Linked DNA regions of Lepisosteus oculatus. The protein of the gene in region 2 interacts with the protein of the main gene of each other region in a biochemical or structural test. Links are inferred from orthologs where the notes say so. Each region holds a gene or a part of one and is shown on either strand. Other genes may lie near its edges.

What was found.
Region 1: the proteins of copb1 (region 2) and arcn1a form a complex in vitro, tested with the Homo sapiens proteins (2 studies listed by BioGRID). The link is inferred for Lepisosteus oculatus from reciprocal best matches to the Homo sapiens genes COPB1 and ARCN1.

The regions. Positions count from the first base shown.
Region 1 is NC_090718.1:11,591,122-11,600,801, reverse strand, and holds the start of arcn1a (archain 1a), read right to left. Parts: upstream 4,206-9,680; 5' UTR 4,034-4,205; coding exon 4,031-4,033; intron 229-4,030; coding exon 1-228. UniProt on the Homo sapiens protein: Component of the coatomer, a cytosolic protein complex that binds to dilysine motifs and reversibly associates with Golgi non-clathrin-coated vesicles, which further mediate biosynthetic protein transport from the ER, via the Golgi up to the trans Golgi network.
Region 2 is NC_090716.1:10,266,430-10,275,646, forward strand, and holds the start of copb1 (coatomer subunit beta), read right to left. Parts: upstream 3,742-9,217; 5' UTR 3,644-3,741; intron 2,287-3,643; 5' UTR 2,225-2,286; coding exon 2,134-2,224; intron 1,876-2,133; coding exon 1,646-1,875; intron 409-1,645; coding exon 239-408; intron 51-238; coding exon 1-50. Other genes in the region: psma1 (proteasome subunit alpha type-1), read right to left, coding at 7,326-7,385, 7,858-7,962, 8,381-8,460, 8,553-8,682. UniProt on the Homo sapiens protein: The coatomer is a cytosolic protein complex that binds to dilysine motifs and reversibly associates with Golgi non-clathrin-coated vesicles, which further mediate biosynthetic protein transport from the ER, via the Golgi up to the trans Golgi network.

The DNA.
Region 1 (9,680 bases), on a different chromosome or scaffold from region 2:
CAGGATGTTGCTGTTCTTGGTGGTGATGAGCACCATGTAGAGCTTCTCCAGGGGCTGGTACACGTAGCGCACGCTCTCCGTCTCCACGAAGGTGTGCTGCTTGCCCGTGTTCATGAGCTTGGGGAAGGCCGCCAGCAGGCCTTCGATGCGCGTGCGGGTCATTTCCACAAACTGGCGCGACACGATGGCCTTGCCCGCCTTGGTGCACACTGCCGCTGCCAACAGCACCTCGGGGAAGAGAAGGGAAAACGGGGGTGTCAGCTGTCAAGCCGTGCTGAAGCCAGGTTAGCGCCCTCTCTGGCCCACAGGTGGAACAAGAGATTTGTAGCGCGGTGAAGAAAACCGACACGCGTGGGGACCTCTCGCACGTTCAGTCTCACAAGCCCGACGGGTTTTGTTCACTCTGGGGACGGGAGAAAGGTTTTTTTGCACTCTTGTGCAATTAAACTTTAGGATAGATTTTCCTCCCCCTAAACTTACAAGCCATATTAAAAATACTGACAAGACAGGTAATTAAATCGTGTACTCATGAAACGTTTTCCCCATTTAGATGGCTAAGACGAGAAGGGTGACTCCTACAAAGATGGAAAGCTGCTCTTCCGTTATCAAACACAAAAACACCGCGTTAACCTGGAATGGCAGGGAGAGGATTTCGGATTCTTTTCTTTCTTCCCCTCATTTTGGTTTACTCTGTGTGCTTCTCTCCGCCTTGCCAAGCAGGAGTCTTCCAAGGGACCGATGAGCACTCAGGAATACACGCACAGACGCTTGGCAAAAGGTTCTGAAGGTTCTTGGCCCGTTTTCTGCGTCCTCAATTCTTCTCCCGTTCCGAAGGTCCAGAATAAACCGTAGCGCGGGCCGTTCATTTCAGAAAACACGTGGCAATTTTTGCTACCATACTGCTGTGAAGTAATAAAATCCAAATTCGCCATGGAAACGGACAAAGACTTTATTTTAATTTTAAATGCTGTTTTTTTTTTACTTTGTATCCTGAAAAATGTTAAGAAATGCAGGGCGACGGTGCTGTTTACAGAGGAAGGCAGCAGACCTTTAAAAGAACATATCTTGGAAAGACAGAACCAGCTCCGCACCGCGGAGGATTCTAATCACAGCTTTCATACAACAAGGCCGGGGCCTGTGTTGAACAAAGCAAACAAAAAAAATAAATAGCTTTCATTTCTTGTACATCTCTTTCGTGGTTTAATAATTCGAAAACCAATTTCGGAGGACTGAAATAATCTAATTTAAGAAGGCAGCAAAGGGACCTTACATTTACCCAAGGTCTCATAACCACACATTTAAAAGGAATACACCTTTCACAGCTCAGATGATTCGAACACCAAGACACCTGAAATGATCCAATTTAAATCATGCCCAAAGTGCACAAAGGATGAACACTGCCAAACGTTCCCAGGTGCTACCAATATACTTGTCTGCTGTAACCAGAAGGAAGATGGGACACTTTCTCATGCTTCTAAGAACTGGGGGTCAGACTGAAGCCAACGGCAGCACAGTGGTCACAATGGTCTTCTGGCACGTGGCAAACTGACAGCCACCTTCAAGCACTGGATTCATCCCGATCGTCCTCAGGCTTAACTTGCACAGAAAGAACCTATAGGCATTTGTTGTTGTCTTTAACCCAAAATCCATAAGGTAAACAGCATTTCTGCACGGCAACGTCACTTTCCAGTTACGTGTTCACCATGGTGTTCAAGGAGCAAAATGCAGAATTAGATAAGTAGAATAAACCTGCATCGGAGAAAATAATCAGAGTACTTTCCCCTTTTTGTACTGGAAGCTGAGCAAACACATGGGGAAGGATGGTGAAATTTTACACCAATCCAACAGCTGAATCAGATGAGCTGTTTCTGAAACAGCATCCTGATTAGCACGTAATACTTAAAAGTGATGATGCATTTTTTGTGGAAAAGGCCTGCTCCTTCCTACATCCTGCCCTTTAAAAAGTACACAACACACACACACAAATAGCAACCTCAAGACTCCAAAACATATTGTTGCTTATTTGAAAGTAGTCCTATGACTGGCCCTGCGGATGTGTTTCTTAAAACTGTCAGATGAATACATTTTGGGAGTTTGTGTGCAGGTTTCACCAACCTGAACTTTAAAAAGAAAAGGAAATGCAATCCTGGAGAGATCTGTTGCTGAAATCAATACCAGCAGACAGGATTATTCCTTGAGAAGCAATTAATTATACTTCCTTTGAAGCACTTAATTATCACCAATAACATTTGACCTGAGACCTGATTTTAACCATCACACATAGAAAGAATCAGGGAGAAAGTTTGCTACACAGATCATAATATTTTGAAAAGACCTTAAATATAGTCAGATTGTAGCACCGCTAGATCTATAAATGACCAACAAATAGTTGGGCTTTTCTGGTAAACGTAAACATCTGTGAGGTCTAGTCTACCGTGACTACACCTATAACCTAGACATGTAAACTGTTTTATATTGGGGAACAGACAGAGTCACTGAAAAACACCTAAAGGACCTGCGAAGTAGACTGTGATGGATGCAGTTCATACACGCAACAGTGTAGATTTCACCGCCTTGTGACCTGGTCAGTAAAACAGGTGTTCCGGTTTTATAAACCGTTTCAATCTGTACTGTGATTTCCAAAATATGAGATGGAACAGAAAAGCAGTACATCAGCCTACGGACTCTGCTAGTTTTTGTTTCACCCGCTCTCTTAAATTCCTGGTGCTAACTGATGCCTTGAATTGATCAGCGTCCTTGGTTTCAGACATACCATTGCATTTCATGTTTTTTTGACCACTTCAACATGCAGAACTTTAAGCAGTTTTTCTCGGGCTCCCTTAATTCTGGCTAAAGGGCTTGTGGGTGATTGTCAAACTCCATAGAGTGTCTCCTGCCTCTCCCCTCCAGTGGCTTAATTGTAAACAAATTCAGCTAACACCTGAATCAGGGGAGTTGTGAATCTCGAAAATTAGTACGCGGCCGACACTAATTAGTTTTGTGAACCCAAAGCATTTTATAGAACGCCTCAAAGCCAACTGAAAACACTTAGCCTGCGATTAAATACTCGGCTATAAAAATCAGAAGGCGACACTATCGCCATCAATACCAGCTTAAGAAGCACTCCGATAAGCGATCTTGCGCGTAATCACCTGGTCTTAGACCAACAGCTATCTGTGCGATTCCTTTTCTGGAATACAACGAGATCGTGTACTGGTGTCCAAGTCCCCAACTGGGCAGTAGTATTTATTTCAAGACCCGAGCTGATGAAGTTGTTCATTCAAGTACGTATCGCCTTCGGACGTCGGTGCTACTCCAACGCTGTAGGTACGAGGTCCGTCGCTTGTTTTTATAATGCTGTATTCAGATTTTTAAAGTAACTTGTTTGACAGGTTTCGTTATTTTGTAACGACGGTTCTTTAGTGTTCAGTATGTCGGTAAATAAAAATGCTGCAAGCTTGCATTTTCCTAAAGCAATCGGCTAGCTTGATCATGGCGAGGTCTACGAAAAGGCACACTATAATTGATTGTTAGTGTTTACCATATTGCATGGCTGTATGAGACACCCAAGCTGAAATTCTTCCCGATCTCCACTAAACGTGCCAGCCACGTCACTCGAGCCGTGTTTTACGCTACAAGGACAGAGTTATTCCATTCACCTAGTTAAGGTCTCTTTTTATACCATGACTTGGATGGGAGGAAAAATGGGTATTTTACCCGAGCCAGCAGCTACTGTATTCACTGCCAAGTGCATTATTTCCAGCGGGGCCTACGACAGCAGCGGTTTGATCGCTATAAACCTCTATCCGCTAATGATACTGTCTGCGCGAAGTCCGACAACTCTTTATAAAAATAAAACTACCTCTTAACAGCTTGCGAATCGGACCGTTAACGGTCCTTGTCTCAATCAAGACTTTATATTTCCTTTCCGACTCTCGTCCACTGACCAAGCCGGAACAAGGACTGGTCTCGATCATCTTTCGGTTAAAACGCACTGTTCGGTAACCGACTAGAAGACTTCAAGGCTTACCATTTTCGCTCCTTGTGCTTGCAAAAGATATTACGTTCCTAATGATAGGGGGATCCTCCCAATTTCCAGACGCTTTCTCTGCAAAATATTCAAGAGTCGATCCGCTGCTTTCCACTGGCGTCTCCCAGCCTACGGCTCCAATATGGCAGCACAGAGCCACGTCTCCAACCGGAAGCAGCTTGTCACGGGGTCAAAGTGCACGGCGTTAGGTAGCATTCGAACATGTGGAAGATTCAACATCAGCATCAGTAGCGTAGCTTAATTGCTAATTAAACATATCTTTCCCGTTAGCGTTTGTAAGCCCTGCGGGGTGGGTTCAACCCTTTTTTTTTTCAGAAATCCCTAGCTTTAAGAAACCGCCAACACCCACAACTTAAACACCAGCCTAACCTAGTAATACTACTTGCTACGAAATTTTAAAGCACATCTCCGCAAAGCCGCATATGCGATGATTCTGGACGGATTTTTAAACACGGCTTGGAATCAAAGCATTTAATGCAACCCCTCTATGTTACTAAAGCTGGTTCCCTGCATGCTTTGGAAAAAGTTTACATGATCCGAGCAGCTGTAAGGACCGATTTGTAAATGGCACTGTATTCCCGATCCAGGAATAACTGGATCAATGTTTAGTAACCCCTTGTGCTGGCAAGGAGGGACGTCGAATATTTTCTTCTTTTGGACAACTTGTGTATCGGGTATAATTATATGAATTACTCTTCTTATGCTGCGCGAGTGACCTTGCTTCCACCACTCTGAATGACTTTTTAAAAATCCTGCCGATAGAGGGCAGTGCCGATGTTTGTAATCGGGCACACGGTGAATCAAAATGTGCCAGAATCACGTTTGATTTAAGATCTTATGATTCATCCCTGATTAAAATTCCCATTTAAGCCACATGCATCTTGTGAAACCTCGCGAACAGCAGTAAGAGCACGTCTGTATTGATTTCAGTCTTTCTTTTTGCCAGCCATTGCGAGGGTCTTCACCGATGTCCTCTCTTCTAATGTCAAAAACCATCTTACCAAGACCACAAAATGCCAGACAAGCGGAAACTTCCAAGCACCTTCCTTTGGAGAGCCACCGATGCATCTGTTCTTAACTGTTGGTTTAAAGGCATGATAGTTACGTAGGTGAAGTCGAGGGGGAAAAGTAAGCACCGTCAAGTTGAAAACCGAGCTAATATCCTTAAAGGCCTGCCGTAAACCTATAAAGGTGCGATCAGATCTAATTGACGAATGTTAAAATTTAAAGACTGGACTTGAGGTGCGGGCTTTAAATTTGACAATGTAAACAACAAGCCCCTTTTATTCATGCCGTAGAACAAAGACTAAATTGTTGACATTTTTATTTCTGTTGCACATGCGTCGAGTCGTATAGTTTGCGTCTCTAAATCTAACCTTTCCAACGGTGAAAGACTTCATAACAACCGAGATAGTGAGTATAATTATGAGCTCACACTGCGTTGCTAACTGCAAGGTTCTTGAGGAATAAACCGAGTATCTGGTTGCACCAAGCTGTGACCATGACGCTGCTCTGCGTTTCTGTTGCAGCTTCGCCGGATGGGCGCCGTATACAGTTCGGATAGCCTGAAGAGCACCATGCAGACCAGTGCCATTACAGACAAACCGTTGAGGACCCTTCACTTCGGAACTGGTACAACGTCTCTGTAGGCATTTCCCCCAAACTTATAGGTGGCCAGACATGGTCCAGAACGAACGGTTTCTACTTATCTGATTTATGATACAGACAGTGAGCACATCCTTTGGTGAGCTACATGGGTCTATCAGTGCTTGTGACTGACAAAATGGCTGCATTGTAGACAGGCCATATCACTGTAGCTCCCAAACTGTGTCTCCAGCTTGCTTTGATCAGTGGTCAGTCTTTATACCTTGCCTGTTTTTTTTTTTTATTTCCTCCTTTGGAGCAGACGGGTTAGTTTTAATATATGGGTAGACGTGAATCCCACACGTCTAATACCAGGAAAATGTGTATGAATTTAAAACGGAAGTAGCTCAACCAGTTTCTAAGAAAAACATAAATAAATTGGGTTCTCCTTTTCAAGGCTGAAGTCCTTATTAGAAGACAACTTTGTAACTATAGCAACTGGCTGTTCTGAGTTCCTAGTATAGATTCTCTAGCCAAATAAATTCTCATTATACATCATATACATAAAAAAAATAAAAGACAATTCCCAAACCAAGCAAACACCTTTTATTACAGAAACGCAAAACACTAACGATCTGTACGAAAAAGGGTGGGGTGGGGAACTTTAACTGTTTTATAATTAAACACGAGTTACACCACTTGAGAGCCAGATTGCAGATGGAAATGCTGGTCAGTATTGAACTGCAATGAATACCTCACCAGCACAAGACCTGCCCAGCAACTGAGCTGAGACTGGGGACTGGTCAGCAGAAGAACACTGAGGGCTTGGAGCTGCATAACTGAAGAAAGATGAACAGCATGTCGAATTTCTACAAATCATTCTCCTTAGGCCTGTGTACAAATAAAGTTAAATCGCCACTTTAGTTTTAAAAGTAAAATAAAGACAATTGATAGGCAAGTGTGTGTCTTAATATTTAATAGAACACATTTATTAGTCATATCCAGTTTATCTGAATGATAATGTACATTTATGTACAGACACTGGCAGTTAATATCTTGACAAATTTCAGATGACTTGTCATCTATGACTAATACCGAACACGGCTGATTTTCTTCCCCTAGTCTCAAAGCAGAATCCTATGTGCTGTACTTTAAGTTGCCTTTCCAGGTTTAAATGATAGTACACTTTTATATAGCTCCTTTGAAATTGGCTTCTCAAAGTGCTTTACAGTGGGGGGAGGGGGGCAGCACAATGAGAGGAGACAGCAGCATTATAACGTCAAATAAAACAATTGATATTTTAGCTTTATCTGCGCGGAAAATAAATAGTAATACCAAAACAAAACTGAAACCGAACAATTTAGTAAAATTCCAGATAAACGGAAACTGGACCCGCTGCCATCTTGCCGGCCGCAGCGCACCTGACGCGCAGAGGGGCGGGGCCTGTCTGCTCACCGTCATTCTGGAGGCGGGCTCGCTGACCTGATTGACAGCTGATTTAAAATGCCTTGAAATGGGACGTTACATTGTGCAATACAATAACACTCCAAATCGTGTTAATCCAGGCACATCCCAATGCGTTTGTCCTCTTTTGGGTCTGTAGCAGAAATAAAAAAAGGGTGTTTGACAAATTCAAAAACTTAAAAGTTGAATGCTGCAGTGGAATTCCAACATTGTTATCCTAACGCTTCATCATTTAAGTGAAATATTGTACTAAACATGATGGTGGGGAACGATACTCTCAGTCTCACGGTAGACAAATGTCAGATTTTCTCTAACCTTTTTAAAGACGGAAAACAGCACCTAGCACAGACATCGCAGACTGTACGGCACGGTTTGCAGGAGTACCTGCTATTCGCAGAAGAGTATATTTAAAATAAAGTGACTGAAGACTGAACCATGAAGAACTTAGCTGCGTATAATCTTAATGCCCCACGGGCGCGTGAAGTAACCGCTTTTCCAAAATGTACAGTAGTGTTTCCTAAAAACCCACAAAAGCCGGTGATAATAAATTCTTCACTCTAGAGGAACAACACAAAAATTTAAAGGAATATAATAATTAATAATTGCTTACACTTATATAGCGCTTTTCAGGTAATGGGGATCCCCTCCACCACCACCAATGTGTAATATTTAATGTGTTACTTTTAGAAGTAACTCAAGCGAAATCGCTAACCTATTATAATGACCAAATCCGTCTCTATAATTGAATAATGAAAAAGCTATAAAAACGACAGTATATTATTGGTGGTGGTGAAGGGGAGTCCCCATTACCTGTTAAGCGCTTTGAGTGGAGTGTCCAGAAAAGCGCTATATAAGTGTAAGCAATTATTATTATTATTATAATATTGGAATTATTCCTAATATTTTGTCCTCACTTTCATTGGGCGCAACACGCATGCGTGACCTTCCCCCCCGGAAATGACATTCTTTGGAGGACACGGGAAGGAGGACGGAATATTTTTCATTTAGCGCTTCGCTCTTGTCCTCTCTGACAGCTTGGCGCGTTGTAGCCGGGATTGCTGCAGTTTCCTGTTCAGCGCGTACAGAGCGGGACAACCTTCACGGCACAGCCGATCTCCTCTCTCTCCCACGCTGACGGTGTCGAAGGGACAGGGATGTCACGCGAGCCCGGCGCCCAGGTGGGTTTACGGTAGACACGCGGAAACCTGAAGTTCCTGGAGCTGAATTCGGAGAGCTGCGATTGGCTGTTGTAAATGTCAATCTGTGTGTCTGAGCGCTGCCATTGGTTAAAACCGAGAAAACCTGTATGTTGGTAGGCGGCTGAAATGAACAAGAACTTTCAAAGTGGGGGGAATACAATAATAAATTCTTAAGAAGACAGAGGACCTGTTCATAACACTGTAAAAGTTCAATTAGAGATGACTCAGTTGAATGATTGTTATGAGTGTAAAGTATGGAGTATGCACCATTTGGTTTATGGTGCTGATAACTGGGCTTTATATCTGTAGGTAAAAGAAAGAAATAAACCGAAAACGTCTAATAAATCATGCGATCACATTAATTTCATCACATTACATTACATTACATCACATTTAGTGATGTAAAACTGTGAATAAATTGCGCTGAAATTAAATGTGTATATTTCGTAACCATATGTGCCGAAAGTAAATCTGCAGTCTTTTACGTAAATGGCACGTCCTAATACGGATTGAGAGGATTACTTGGAAGTCATGAGAACACACATGTGGTTCCAAGGAAGCATACGTGACATTTTTAAACCCATTCTTGACAGCAGTCAGACCAGCTCCTGGCATAGAGAGAGAACACGTAGAACACAACGCTTAGAAAGGAGCACATCTCCTATACCTAAAGACTAGAATCCAGAAGGTTTTTTTAGGGCTCGTTAAATCGTCGACAGCTGAAGATCTTTGAAAAATGTTCAGTTGGTCCAATTTACTTAATGAGAAGATTAACAAAGCCATAGAGAGCAGGAATGTAAAAAAAACGTCATATTGAATGAAGCAGAACTCTGTTTCGCTTTCATGAACCAATTCACCTCCATATTGTGCAATGTTATGTCTCTCTTGGATCTCATATCTCTACTGCATTTTCTTCGGGTTAATCTTAAACACTTGTCAGAACAGTCAAGATCACCACTGAGCGGATATGCAAAGTATTTTAGGTGCCATGCAAATGTAGTGCATCCGAGCAGCATTTCACAGCTGTGGTGCTGAACACTTGTACCGCAGTGCTGGAGAGACCTTGATCTGGTAGAGAGAACGTGAGGGCAGTTTGGAAAACACAAGGGTAGTGTGTAATGGGCTTGTATTTTTTAAGTTATTCACCTCTCTATGAATCCCCCCCCCCCAAGTCTTTTTGCTACAATGTACTGATCTGTAGAAGGTCCAGGTGCTCCTCCCTACCCTCTCCAACGGCTGCCATGAATCGACAGTACTGTCTTATCAGCAGCAGCCAGGGGTGGGCGGTGAAGAACCCACAGGCACACAGGGCTAGACACTGTTCTCTCCAGTCAGCTTCCCTCTTTTCAGCACTGCTCTCTGCTAGAGACGGGGGAAATTGT
Region 2 (9,217 bases):
GAAAATCATGGATCAGCTCAGGCGCATCAGGAATTAAATTCTCAAAATTCCTATAGGAATAGAAAGTTAACATTAATGGCACCCTTTTCATTAAAAGTTATTCAGAAGTTCCATTTCATTAAGGAACAAAGACCCAGCTACCTGTTTTCTTTTACAACATCGGCTTCTAAAAATCTGTCCTTATACACTGTGTATTGTGCATAAAGAGGTGTAGTCCCTTCATTGCTCCCAAACTCACCTATAAATGGTGTAAATGGCCAAGACAGCATTTCGCCGCACATAGCTGTGTCGGTGCTCCAGGCAGGCACGGATCGCTGGCATCAAGGGCTCCAGCAGCTCAGACTCTTTCAGCTTGCACAGGAACCGCAAGGTGGAACCCCGAATGAATTCATTAGGATGCTGTAGGTCCTGTTAATGCAACAGAAATGAATAACCACAAACTATCCTCACCCCAGCAGACACAAGGGCAGATCAGTGACTCCAAAGCCGAAGGCAATTTAGGCCAGGTCGCAATGCTGAAGTGGGTGACTGAGTTAAACCTGCATTCAGGCTTAAGCAACAACAGATTTCTGGCGATTATTAAACAGTACAGTTTAGGTCAACAATTGCCTCCTATTTTGCTTCATGATCAGGTGTTTTTCCCCCATCAAAGTGGCAAGAAGCACACTGTGAGAATAGTTTTCTGTGGCAAATATGGAGTCACGAGAAACGGGTGGCTGGATCAGATTTCATTCCTCCTGCATGGTCCTGGTGATAATTTCTTAAGTGCAAAGCTGTAAAAGAAGAAGCGTTCAAACAAGCTTTGAGCTCAACAGCCATGACAGCTTTTAAATCCTTATTCTATTATTTTACCCACTCTTCATCATAATGTCTTTTGCTTAGAAGTGAAAAGAAAAATCCAATTCAAATATAAGAGGTGCACTGAAAATTCCTATTGATGATTATAGAAGTGGGTCTCGATCAAAACAAACACTGTTCCCCATTTTCCAATTCCTACAACTTTCATGGCTTTTGGAAAATACCTAAGAGTATTAATATTGGGGAAACGCTCTTGGCTCTCTTGGCTGTTCAAGTATTTCTGACTTTTTTTACGAGAAAGATAAGTGGTAAGTGCTCACTCACCAACACTTGAAAAGTGGAGAGAAAAAGCCACAGCTGTGCAACGTGAAGAAGCACTCTTGTTGTTTATAGAAGCGAGACCTTAACACGGCCAGCAATATGATTATAAATATGAAACATATGAAAACTGCAGATGTTAAAATCTTGCAGTAAACCCACAAAACCAAGTGAAGTACATCTAATGTATATTTGACGTCTTATTCTTAGAGTCAAAGCAAGCACATGACCTGGCAAAAACTAACCAACACAGTACAGAACACAGAACAGAAAAATGGCACATGAGGGCAGGAAACAAGTGCCCTTAACCAGACTAAAAGAAAAATATCAAAATGTTCTGAGTTTTTAAGACTTGGTGCAATGGAAATGTATTCTCCTCTGCCCATCTTTGTAGGGAAGATCAGGACAGGAGACATGAAAAAATCTTTTCACAACATACGTGACCGGTCTTCCAAAGCAAACACTTTCAGACAACACTGTCAAAAGGCACAAATTCAGAACATGACACACTAGTGAGCCGGACAAGTACCTTTCTGTAGGCATCACAGACCAAGATCATCTCTTGCAACAGCTTCCCATCTGGAGTGGTCTTGGGAACAATCTCCCAGAAGACAAGGAGCAGCTTTTTAATGGTGTGATCTTGAAGAGGCAGTACAAAGCGAATGATGGTCATCAGCAGGCCAGGCAGCTTCTCCCCATTGAGAATCATGATGATCACCTTCTTCAAGGCCTCCGTTTTGGCCTTGATATCCCCCTTTTCTAAAAGTGAACAGCACCACAAGACTGAAAATGAACACGTGCATAATCACATTCACACAAAGATCACTCAATCCTATCCCCTTTAGAAAACAGGAAAACTACCCCCCAAAAATGCTTTAATCGTGAGTGGCAAAACATCAAAGAAAGAAACACTTTTATTTTTTTAACCATGTGTTAACCATTCAACAAACCTGGTGTAAATCTACAGCAAGTTCTTCCTTCTAGCTTCCCTTGCAGTTGTTTGCATTTAACACTCACCGAGGTCTGTTTTCAAACTTAGTTCTGATGGCGGTTCCGAGTCCATCGGAACATTTATGAGAGTGTAACACACATTCTCCGCGGCGGTCATGATGCCGGCTGTCTAATTTTCTGAACGAAAAACACCAGGAGAAACTTGATGTTGATCAGACCCTGTAACAAAGAACAAGAACATGCATTTTTTTAAGATAAAATTGATCGCAAGTGACTGCTGTGCAAAACGCGAGTAACTTTGCCATATTATACATTATTTATCGACGTGAAATGGCATTAAAATCAACAAAGCAGCTGTCACAAATGACCAAATCATTTAGAATTGGGCTGTCCAATCCTGGTCCTAGAGGATTTAATTTCAATGTAGCTCTTAATGTCCTGTCAGATCATCACTGGGCTAATTGGACCAATTTATTACGTTATCTTAGATCTTCAGGTGCTGCTGCTTTAAAGAGACCTAGAACACCTGCAGACACCCTGACCTCTTCCCTGTACAGCACCAAGAATATCCTGCTCCACGCTGGCACGTCAAATCCGTGCTGTTCATAGAGACATAATTACACTTACTGCTCACAGGACGTTCGCATTTAAATACACATGTATAAGTGGCCTCCGTAAATTAGAACACCTGTAAACACCACTTCTATTATTTTATTTTACGTTTTGCAACCTGATGACAAAAACATAATTCAAGTAAAACTTACAGCATAACGTTCATATATTAATAAGAAACTTGCTGGGAACCAACAGTAACTTATCATGAAGCACTATTTTATCATCTTTTAGGTTCTTCTCCGTAATGAGAATAAATACAATTAACACCACCATATAAAGGGCAGGTGAAAACAACATTTAAGAACAAATACTAAGTAATAAGGCAAAAATGAAACTATATCCTTTTAAGATATTACAATAAACGTAAACATTTTGTATTAGGGCCATAACTTGTCTACCCAAGTCTGACGTTACACAACGATATTTTAACGATTGTTCCCTTGGTGTAAACTACAATACAATAAAAGCATGTGGAAAGCCACTAATTTATTGACCATATCAGTTGACTATTCTGTGCAGGTGTGATCACATAATTTTATAGTAAACTGCACCGAGCTCGTTCTTCTGCACAATCAAGAGGTTTGGCCTAAAAGATAGGCCTCAGGAAGTGACCGGCTCAACTACACAAAATCCCACAAGCTACATCAGAAATCGGTATTGTGGAGGCAAAACCACCACAGTAGCAAGTTTGTGCATAACGTTCAAATCAACAGCCATAACCGATTTATCATGGGTCATCCAACTCCGGCTTGACAAATGTCTTCCTTGTTAATGCTCTCTGTAGTGGTGCCTTGCTGGAACTTCAGCTAAAATAACCTGCGAGATGTGGAGCTTCAATTTACAAAAAGGAAGAACCTTTTGAAAATTACAATGCAATTGTAAATATTTCTTATAGAAGAAACTTCCGTAAAATGATACAAAACCGCATAAATCTACACAATTAAAATGAAAGTTTCTTTACCTTTTTATTCACTGTGTTAACCTCTCCCCAGCTGCACTACGCTACAACATCCAAGTGACGTGGAACTAGGAGGTCTGAGCCACATCAATACTACAGGAAGCTAAGAGGGACAAACTTGCTTAAACTAAGGCGAGAGGGAACAGAAACTCGTTTCTGCCTGCATGCGTACAAATGTGAACTTTTAACGTCACCAACATTTAGTGTATAGATAGAAACAGAGTATAGGTAAATCAGTTTTTCAATTTTATTTTATTGATTCGATCATATCTATAAATAAGAAATGCTTAAATAGATTAGTAGTTAAATCCTACTAATCTATTTAAACATTTCTTGTTTATAGATATGACCGAATCATTAAAATACATTGAAAAAACGATTTGATCGATGTTAATTCAGATTATAATTTTTACGATGAAGTTTAAATGTTCTTTGCAAATCGCCTATTAAAATATGTTCAAAAACAGAAAAAATAAACACCAGTGCAACACTATATATGTTCCTTAATAAAAATAAAACTTTGTTTCAATAATGATAATTTTTTCTAATTTTAAATATTTTTGTAAATATCCACTCGTTGCTTCATTATCACAAACACCTCCCCCTATTAGAACTCAAAAGTGCATTTCATTCTGTTTTAGGGATTTATGTCATGATCAGAACTGTCTGTCAAATGGGTTTAAATGGGAGGATTCAATGTCCACAATTGTCCACCAAGCCTCTGGCCAGTGACATAGGTTAACCAAGAACCTCCACATAACCCAGGTCATTCTACATAAGTGCAGGCATTTATCATTGTGGTCATGTCTACCTTTTCCTGATACCCCACAACCATCTCTCTCCCTTTGTCAGTAATGTCCCCTGAGGGTGTGACCAGATCATAGATTGTCTGTACTTTATTAGCATAAAACAGACTTTTTTTTCCTACGTCAACAGCATTAGTATTGGTATCATTATTTTTATCTGGCTTTTCTGAGAAGAGCAAAAGAAACGTTACAAAAGAGGAAGAGGATGCTATTTGGTTTGTCTAGATTGTGGTTGCTTAACTTAGCAACCTGAGCTAAGAGGATTTCATCCAGCCATTTGTTGAAAGTTTAGTTCAGCTCCAACAACACCTAGTCCAAATCCCAACAACCCTAATGTGAAAAAAAACCCCAACATAACACATTCTCAATCTCATGTTTGTGTTTCATGTTCATATTTGTTTACTGATTCTGAAAAAGTCTATTGGTTTGATTTTATGATTTGATATGTTTTAATATTTGAATCAATTCCCATTATACTCTTCAATACAAGACTATGAAGATTCAGTTTCTTTCTTCTCTGGACTGATGCTATTCTAACATAATGTTTTCATTTTAACATAGTGATAAAGGTTGTGTACAGTATTCTCATAACAGTCTTCTAGTTGAAGGAGCCTATTGATCACAATTTTACATTTATTTATACTGAGCATCAAAACATATCACTCCATTTGAGCATGTATTTTTTTAAAAATAGAATGTGTTTCCACTGATTAAAGCCTGGTGAAATTCAAGTAAATAACAATTATGCCCCATATACAGTATCGAGGGTAAGACTCCATTAAACTAGCCGTTATAACTACTGTTTATTTGAATGTTCAGTATATACAGTATATACTAACATTCTGTTTACTAACTATACCATTGATATAAATTAGGAAGAGTAGTGGTCCTAATACAGATCTCTGTGGTACTCCATTAAGTACATCACCAGAACATTCACCCTTCCTCTGTTCTCTTCATTTCTATAAATGAACTAGTTCTACAGTATATCATATCATATGCTTTGTGTTGTACCCTGTGTTGCTAATGCTTGTTCATATGTATTCTTAAATCAATCAGCACAGAAGCCATGGACATTCTGCTATCCTTGTTATCCCTTAACAGAACAAGATCCCAGGCACTATTGCTGGCTTACATTTAGCTGATTGTTATGTGAGCCAAGGAATATTATTTTTGTTGTAAGTAAATATTTACTGAAGCCCAACAGGGACTATGATTTCACAATAAACATGCCAATGAAGATATATCTTTTAATGATCTGAAATTCATCTGCGTCAGTTTCCTTAACTTTCCACGCATCATGCTCAAATGTGAATGAAAAAGAATAGCGTGCATGATCAGTAAGGAGTGAGGGACAGAGACAATGACAGGAGTAACAACAGAACTCATCTCATTGGAATGATGAGAGAACATTTCTACAATATTCTATATACCTAAAAAAATGCTGACCTCACCAGAAGTTGTTGTGACCTGGGGATAATGACTAACGGGGAGAACACCTTACTGCTTCTTCTGTAACATGACCTCTTCTTGCGGTGCCAGCCCTTTTTGTGAAACTAGAAAATAAACTATCTGCAGGTTTGAGGTCACCCCTGGGATATACTATTACACCTCTTCCTTCAGCGGTGTCCTTCATACTGCAGGAACCTTGACTCAAATCAATATCAAAGGTCTGCTTCGCCTGACACAGGACATTGTTGCACAGCATTTGATGACCCCGTCTGGAAAAATTATAGCAGAAAATACACCTGGTATTTCATAATCCGGTCACATTTTCAATATTTCAGGGTTTTTTTTTTTACTTCCAATGGGTACCGTTTTATCACCATGAAAACTAAAATATGCTCATTTCTTTCCTAATACAACAAACTTTATAACAATTAAACATAGAACTTAAAAGGGTGTTAAAATACCTGCAGATAACCTTTCTATCCACAAGAAATCCTCTATCTAAACAAAACTAACAATTCAATGGGGTGACTTAAACAGCACCATCACCTTTATCCATATTGAACTGAAAGTGGGATTATTAGTAGTATTTCAAGAGGTGTGCGTACAATAATCAATTAACATCATGTTATGTATGTCTAGCAAGCCCATTTTTTTCAGAGAACGTTAGAAGATGCCAAGAGAGCATATTGCTACCTGATATTTTGACTTAAGCAGACAGAAAAAATGACACAATAAAATTGGCAAATAAGCGTACCTTGGACACCACCTCTGAAAACAACATATAACTGAAACTCGGGCCTGGTTCATGATTAATTGGTACCAAATGATTACCCTTTACTTATACATAAAGGAAATTCAGCACCCATCTTACACTGTACCAGCTGATTTAACTCACTATGAAAAACAAACTTAACTATGAAAACAAACATGCAGTCCTGGAACTTCGGGTTCACCTTCAAGACCCTCTATTTTTTAATGGAGCGCAAACCTTTTCTATCTCACAGGATCCTTACATTTAGCAAGTGTGTTTTCTGAAGAGTGCTTTAGACTGCAACCTTATAAAGTACATGGTTAACAAGGTACTACAAATTCTTTTTTATTTTTTATTGGAAGCAGTTGTTACTTAACATTTCTGTTGTTTTGTTTTTTAAAAAAGCTACGACCTGAAACACATAGGGAAAACAAGATTTTATTCTGAAACTTCAATCTGAGGTTGGTTCATATAGAAAAGCATAATATAACTAGTCTTTGTAGAAAACAAAAAAGCTAATATTGTGGTAGGTGGCTTTCTAAGATCTTCTTAGGCCAAAATGGGCTCCATGTTGACATTTACTTTGTGAATGCATGGTCATAGACTGACAGCAGGTATGTTACAGATTGTGAACTTTTTAATCAGCAGTGTAAATCTTTGGCAGCCAGGACCAACATCAGTGCTCCATGGGCTCATCAGCTTTTCCTCCTGCTGGCTCTTCAGGCGGCTGTGCAACCTAGAAATCAAAACAGGAGCAGGCTTCAGTAAAGAAATCCCAACTTTAATAAAGAAACATCATTATTTTTTCTAAAACAAAAATCTTGCCTTAAGTATACAGTTAAATATACTGAGCATGAAAAATTACTGTGAAAAATTCAACAGAAGGATATGTAAAGCAAGCGAAGGCCTTACAGTATAATTTGCTGCATTGTTGTATAAATCCTATACATTTTGGAAAGTGTAATAATTCTTCTTATTCACCTTGAGGGAAACAATCACCCTAATTGTCCCTTAATTCTCTTTTAATTTATATAAATAAAAAGAAAGCTACTCATTTTATAAAAATATATTATATAACTTGGCAAAAAAAACCTTAGCCAATTGTATACTGAATACATATGGAGCAGAACATTGTGCTTATGGAAAGCACAGGAGACATTTTCAGCAAGAGGAAGTTGTGAAAGAACTGTACGGTTAAATATATCTACCTTTCTCTGGGGTCTCTCTTCAAGGCCTTCGAGGAACGGTGCAACTTCGTCATCATCATAGATAGTAAACTCCAGGTCTTTGCCAACAATTCCAATGGAGACATTCTGTGAAGGCCAAGAATGTTACCCTTTAAAGTATTTTTCTGAATATTAAATATGTCATAATAAATAGTAAAGTTAATCATTACTGAATATTAAATCAAACACTAAATACATTCAATGTCCCCCATATTTAAGCTTAAATACATTTTTAAATTTTTACAATTCAAAACAACATTAATAATCACTTTCATAGCCTGTTTTTGGATTCGTGTATCAAATCAATTAAGCATGAAAATGTGAAACAAATGGAGCTAAGCAGTGCACAGTCATACAGAATATAAATCTCTGTCAGTGTAAAATCATTACATACCACATTACATCTAAACATCTTTCATATTTACTGCTTGCTTGTCAATGATGAAATTGTTATAAGACAAATCACCGGGTTTTCTTTGCATCAGACGCTGCACGAATTACTTACCTTTGTAGTAAGGTCCTGCTCAGCAGGGAGGGTTTCTCTTAAAGCACGGAGACCATGCTGGACAAGTTCGTTCAAATTGCCTTGAGAAAAAAAGACAAAGTTTAACACCCTCATGAACCATGATGGATAGTGAGATACTGGAAATACTGGATACTTTCTATTTTGTACTCACAGTCAATAAATTTCTCCATGTTTCTTTCCAGGTAAGTGCGAGCAGACTGGGAACGGGCTCCAATGGACATGGCTTTACAGTCAAAGTAATTTGCCGATGGACATGTCTGGAAGATGTGAGGCCCCATATCCTAAAACAAAAGTAAAACTCATTCCAGGGGTATAGAGAAACCATCTCCTCGCAGTTTCAATCTATAACTGCCTATCTGGGTTTTCTCAACCTAAGGATACAAGCCGATACAAGCAAAGGTCCTGACAGTTCAAAACCCACTACTGTAATAATTTTAAGATCTGTGTTCTCCTTTATCCTTAAGGTGAAACCTGCTCCTCATGCTTCCCCCAATTGCCATAGATTCACCTCAGTCAAAACTCACCACTTGACATCTGCCGCCTTCAAAGACTGAGAACATCAAGAACCAGCGTGTGTGTGTTGGCTGGATGGTAAGTGGTGGGAGTCCTATTAGTAGGACTCACCTTGATGATGAGGTTAACACAACATTGATATGTCCAGTGTTTTCAAATGCATCTGAGCTCATGCTTTAATTCAGACTGGCAAACTTCAGATATGTGCTGACATCTCAGGATTGAAGCACAGACCAGTGGAGACAAGCGTTAATTAATTATTGATTCTCAATACAGGCACTCAAAGGTTAAATAAAATACGTA